Zea mays: one gene and its partner. Each later gene encodes a partner of the first gene's protein in a complex. Links are inferred from orthologs where the notes say so. Each region holds a gene or a part of one and is shown in the gene's direction. Other genes may lie near its edges. The genes, in order: Trafficking protein particle complex II-specific subunit 130 homolog and trafficking protein particle complex II-specific subunit 120 homolog.

Region 1 (3,047 bases):
AATTCTGCCAACAGCTCCATCAAAGCTGGAAAGGTTGAAAAGGTACCTATTGAAAATGGAAAGATAGAACTTCCTGATTGGGCTAGTGATGTGACTACTCTTGTTTGGTTTCCTGTTCGTGCTATTGATGACACAATTGCAAGAGGAGAATCCCTAGGTCTGTATGTAACAAGTGATAAATTCACTATGTTATGTTTCAATCAGTTAGTTGACCTTTCTTTGTCCTTGTTTCAGTGTCTCAGAAACAGAGCGTTGTAGATGGGATGAGAATGATTGCTCTCAAGCTTGAGTTTGGAGTTTTCCGTAACCAAGTGTTTGAAAGGTATCTCTCTGTTTTTCCCCTCAAACATGCAGAAGAGCTGTGTCATGTCTGCCATTGTATAAGAAAAGATGAGATACTTCGATACATTGAACTTTAGATATAGATACTCAACAAATTTATTATTATGATTTTCAGGACCATTGCAGTTCATTTTACTAACCCATTCCATGTAAGCACACGCGTCGTGGACAAGTGCAATGATGGAGCTCTACTTCTACAGGTAAAGTTCTTTCTTGTCTGGCACATGATTGTCATTGTTGTATTCCTAGATTTAAAACACACACACACACACACATATATATACAGGGATATTGGGAGCCCTGCTCTTCCAAACATATATACTAGAAGCCCCAGCCGTGCCCTGCACCACCCGACCGGCTTGGCCACCTAGATCCCGTGCACACGTCCATCCCCTGCATGCGGATATTTGTTTCCATTTGCATGTGCGAAAAATTTGGAAGGTGTATCTGTTTCCTGCTGCATGCGCATAAATTTAGGATGGTGGGAATGTGCGATGAAAAGAAATGGATTGGCATGCATGAAAACAAAAAATCTTATTGTAATGCTTTATTTCGTCCATAAATATAAGATTACTGCAACAACCATACAACTAGGAGGACATATCCTGTGCAATCACTCATTTTGGTGCAAGCGTGCAATCAAATTATCCAGAGCATCCAATCTAGATCCAACGGTTTCATATGGAAGGGGTTAAAAGTAAAATAGGTACTATGTTTTAGGTGGAAGGGCTTAAATATAAAATAACAGTCATCATTAGATCTAGATCGGATGTACCAGATCGCTTGATTGCATGCTTGCACCAGGATAATTGATTGCATAGGATATTTTCCCTACAACTAGGCTCGTAAGAACCAGTTTATGGTATATATTGATACTAATTATGCTACATGGTGTAAGTATTTATGCAATATGGTACAATGCGTAAAAATCTGTTTCTGTTGCATGCGCACAAATTTAGGATGACATCAATGTGCAATGAAAGGAAATGAATTTTCATGTATGGAAACAAAAAGAATCTTATTTTAATGCTTTATTTCCTCCATGAATATATGATCTCTCCAATAGCCATATAACTATGCTCGCTAGAACCAATTTATACTAATTATGCTAGACGGTGTGTGTATGTATTTATGCAATACGGTACATTATGTAAAAATCTGTTTCCTGTTGTATGCACACAAATTTAGGATAGTAACAATGTGCGATGAAAGGAAATGAATTGCATTCATGGAAACAAAAAATCTTATTTAAGTGCTTTATTTCATCCATAAGTATAGGATTGTTCCAACAGCCATACAACTAGGCTCATTGGAACCAGTTTATGATATATACTGATACTAATTATGCTACACGGTGAAGATATTTATGCAATGCGGTAAACTGCGTAAATTCTGGCACGCGGTTCACTGATGGACGCATCTCCAATTCTCCATGTTCGAGCGTAAAAAACCTTCAGGTTTGATCATAAAAACCCGCAGTTATGAGCGTAAATATTGATTCAACGTGAAAGTTGTTGATTAGGGGAGTTGATTAGGGGAGTTGATTAGGAGATTTAATTATGAGAGTTAATTAGGGGACTTGTTTGCGTGATCACATTTTTATGGCAGATAAAAAAACATGGCAACCACCAGACACATGCGTTCGGTTCCTACTTTTATGCAGATCCAAAAATTATGGTAGGTCGTGAGAATTTCCATTGCATACGCGCAAATTTTGGATGGCATTTTCATTTCTACTGCATTCGTGCAAAAATTGGATGACAGGAATCGCGCAAAGCATAAATCCTTATAGAAAGTTGCATAAATACCTACATTGTACATCATAATTAATGGAAAACGTTCTAATATGTGCCCAACCAACAACCCCATGCATAAACAATAATTGGAGTAGGTCGTCGTCGCTGCACGTGCCTCCTGGATCCGCCATCATTCGCACGTCCGAGGGGCCACCACCACCGCACTCGCCTCGGATGTTGTCGTCGTCGCGAACGCCTCAGGGGACCGCCGCTGCGGCGTGACCTCGGGGAGCCGCAGCCATCGCGCGCGCCTGTGGGATCCGCCGTCGCCGCTTGCGCCTAGGGGAGGCTGGCGCCATCGCTCGCACCTAGGAGAGGTTGCCGTCGCCGCTCCCGCCTCGGATGGCGTCACCGCTGCGCTCCCTCAGGGAACCACCGTCGCGCTCGCGACTCGGGGAGCTACCGCCGCCGTGCGCGCAACGGCGGGGTGGGGGGTGGGGTGTCGTCGCTCGTGCATCAGGGTGGGGGCATCACAGCCGACATCGCTAAAAAATAAAACCCTAGCGCCCTGAGCTCCTTTAGTAGACGTCCGGGACCTGGTGCGGCTGAACCGGATGCCAACATTGGACTAGAGCTTCCCTTGGATATTTGGAAGCCCAGGGCTATATATATATATATATATATATATATATATATATATATATATATATATATATATATATATATATATATATATATATAGTATTGTTCTTATATATACAGACCCAAGATTTTTTTTTTGAGTTTCTGCCTTCTATGGTTCCGGTGGAAGGCATAAGTTTCCATGAACCATACAATTTTTGCCTATTTGGGTGCTTCTGGTGTCTATGGGCATGTGATTGACCAGACAATGACAACACTAAGGAAGGGGTTTTTGGTTCATTTAGCCACCCTCCTAAATTTTAGTGACTAAACTTTAGTCCCTAGAAA
Region 2 (3,192 bases), on another chromosome or scaffold:
AAAACTAGAATTGATCGGGACTACTCTGCCAGAGTTCTCATACCTCTTGAGAACTTCAAATTGCCTGTTCTTGATGCTTCCTTCTTTGTAAAGGCAAGTAGTAGTGATGAACCTCTTGGATCCAGGGCCGCCGCCATAGCAGAAAGGAATGCCAAGGCAGAGCTAAATGCGTCTATCAACAACTTGATTTCAAAAATAAAAGTGAAATGGCACTCTGGGAGAAATAGCTCAGGTGAGCTGAATATTAAAGATGCTATCCAGACGGCACTACAAGCATCTATAATGGACATACTGTTGCCAGATCCCCTGATGTTTAGCTTTAAGCTTGTTACGAATGGAACTGTGGTCAATGTCGATTCTCCAAAGGATTCTGGCAATGTTCTGAGGTGCAAAGATCCTATATCTGCTCATGAAATGACCCATATGGAAGTTCAGATTCGCAACAACACAAAGGAAATTATCCGGATGAACCTTAGCATTTCATGCAAAGATGTTGCTGGAGAGAATTGCTTCGATGAAAATAGTGCTACTGTCCTCTGGGCTGGTGAGTTATCTTTTTTGTTTCCGTTCCATAGCTATCTGGATTCAGTTTTTGTTTTATTTTATGAATGCAGCCAATGACCAGTGCTACAGAAGGCAACTTCTTGTGCTCTCTAGCATAATGGTTAAGGCTTCCGAGTAGCACCTCCAGAGGCCGTAGAGATGGCAATGGGGACCCGATCCCTGATTTCCCGCGAGGAATTCTTCCATTAGGGGATAGAGATGGGGAAGAAACTTCCCCGCGGAGATATAAATGGGGAAAATGTATCCCCTGACGGGTAAACGGGGATAGGGACGGGGAAACATTCCCCATCCCCGTTCCCTGCGGGGACCCGTTAACCTTGCACGTGAGTCGTGACTATGTTTTTGTGTACTAGTTAACGATAAAAATAAACAATTACCTTGTCAAGAGAACACTAATTGTACAAATGTGTTCATTTTGATGTATGCATAATGATTTTTTACATATAACAATATGTATAAGTGACAATTTTAACATTAATAACAAAGAATGTATGTCTTAATTATAATTTAAACGGGGATGGGGATCCCCGTTGGGGATTTATCCCTGCGGGGAACGGGGATGGGAAAGAAATGTTCCCCGCAAGCGTTTGTGGGGATCCCCGTGGGGAAATTTTTTCGTCGCGGGGACGGGGATGGGGAGCTATTCCCTGGCGGGGAATTCCCCGTTGCCATCCCCTACCAGGGTCCCGGGTTCGATCCCCTCGGGGGCGAATTTCTGGCTTGGTTAAAAAATCCTTTCGATGTGCCCCGCCCGCTCCCGGGTACGTCTTGCACGCCACCCTCTGGTTGGGCCGTTGCAGAGTGGGCGGTGATGGCATGTTAGTGATGGAGGCTAGGGTTCGAGGGATTTTCTCGGCCGGGACTATATTTCGGTCTCTTCTTAATATAATACGAAGAGAGCGGTCTTTTCTACCCGACCGAGGTTTTTTTTTGTGCATGATCAAAGATTTTTACATTAAGGGCCGTTTGGACTCTGGATCCATTTTGAAGGAATTAAAATTTACTTAGTATGGTAGGTTATTTGGTTTGGATTCTTTGGAATTTGACATTCTGTCACTTTCCAAAGTCTAAATATAAGCCTATCCCAAATTTATAGGTTGAGAAAGTGGAAATTGATTTTATGTATCACTAGTCCATGATTCTACTCTGCAATTTATGATATGTTCTTCGGCTCGCTCATCTATAGTAGTAATGTAGTACATAAATATCTCTCTCGTATGACCAACAATAGTTTATAATATATTGTACATAAAATCATATTTAGATTAATTGATCTATACCTAAATTACAAATATTAGAATAGAATTCAATTCCAGGGATCCAAACGGGGCTAAGGGCAATTGGGTAGCCATTTACTTATTATACTTTGAAGGACCGTCATTTACCTGAGTTATACTGATCGTTTTGGACAAATGTTTTTTTTATTCCGTAATCTTTCAAACTTTAACCGGCAAAGTTATTCATTGAAGCATTATTCTGCGTATATGTCCTGTTCACTACTCTGACGAGTTCTTCTGTGTAGGTGTTCTTAGCGATATACACCTGGAAGTTCCACCGTTGCAAGAGGTGGTACATCCTTTCTCCATGTATTTCCTTGTACCGGGTGACTACTCGCTCCAAGCTGCTTCTGTTATAATCGATGCCACAGACGTTCTTCGTGCTCGTGCAAAGGCGGAGTCACCAGATGAACCTATACTGTGTCGCGGATCCCCATTCCATATCCGGGTAGTCGGTACAGCATAGGCAGTTCTTCTGAGTTACTCCTAGTCTAGAGGCCTCATTTTACTGTGACAATTGTAGGTGTGGAAAATCTTGTACAAGAGTGATCCCTGGCGCCCTGCCCCTCATGCGATATGTTTTTTGTCCTTTTTGTTGGCTTCTTTGTAAGTCATGTCATGTACAGTGTACAAGCATAGTGAGTATTGTTTCAAGCACAGAAATTGTATGTCGATGATTCCACAATCTTAATTTCTGGTTAGCTTATATGATTTTACTTAACATTTTTTACATTGTTCATTGTTGGACTGAGCGCACCACCAGCAGCTTGCTTATACTTATCTACTATTTTAAACTCTGCTTTATACACGATTGTCAGCCAAGCCTAAGAGCGTGATTAGTTCACACCTTCCTGGTTCGTTTTGGCTAGAGAGCCCAAATCCGCTATATTTGGCGTAAGTTTTGTCTCCAGCAGTTTACCTAAAAGCACTGTTCTGCACTGTAGATTCTACTGTTCGTAAAGTGTAATTTAAATATGGTTATGAAGATAGATAAGATGCTAGAGATAGTCTAATCGAGTTTTGTCGGGGACCATAATTAGGGGTACCCCAAGACTCATAATCTTAGCTGGTAACCCTCATCAGCACAAAGCTGCAAAGGCCTGATGGGTGCGATTAAGTCAAGGCTCGGTCCACTCAAAGGACACGATCTCGCCTCGCCCGAGCCCAGCCTCGGGCAAGGGCGGCCGACCCCAGAGGATTTACGTCTCGCCCGAGGACCCCCTCCAGCAACGGACACACCTTCGGTTCGCCCGAGGCACAGTCTTCGCCAAGAAGCAACCTTGGCCAAGTTGCCACGCCGACCGACCGTATCGCAGGAGCATTTAATGCAAAGGTGGCCTGACACCTTATC

What was found.
Region 2: Trafficking protein particle complex II-specific subunit 130 homolog (region 1) and trafficking protein particle complex II-specific subunit 120 homolog share a complex: the UniProt entries of both Arabidopsis thaliana proteins name them as parts of the multisubunit TRAPP (transport protein particle) II complex. The link is inferred for Zea mays from reciprocal best matches to the Arabidopsis thaliana genes CLUB and TRS120.

The regions. Positions count from the first base shown.
Region 1 is NC_050098.1:131,487,543-131,490,589, forward strand, and holds part of Trafficking protein particle complex II-specific subunit 130 homolog, read left to right. Parts: coding exon 1-157; intron 158-234; coding exon 235-322; intron 323-457; coding exon 458-542; intron 543-3,047. UniProt on the Arabidopsis thaliana protein: Specific subunit of the TRAPP II complex, a highly conserved vesicle tethering complex that is required for the proper transport of proteins in post-Golgi trafficking pathways to the growing cell plate in mitotic active cells.
Region 2 is NC_050097.1:32,869,388-32,872,579, reverse strand, and holds the end of trafficking protein particle complex II-specific subunit 120 homolog, read left to right. Parts: coding exon 1-544; intron 545-2,086; coding exon 2,087-2,307; 3' UTR 2,308-2,571; downstream 2,572-3,192. UniProt on the Arabidopsis thaliana protein: Specific subunit of the TRAPP II complex, a highly conserved vesicle tethering complex that is required for the proper transport of proteins in post-Golgi trafficking pathways to the growing cell plate in mitotic active cells.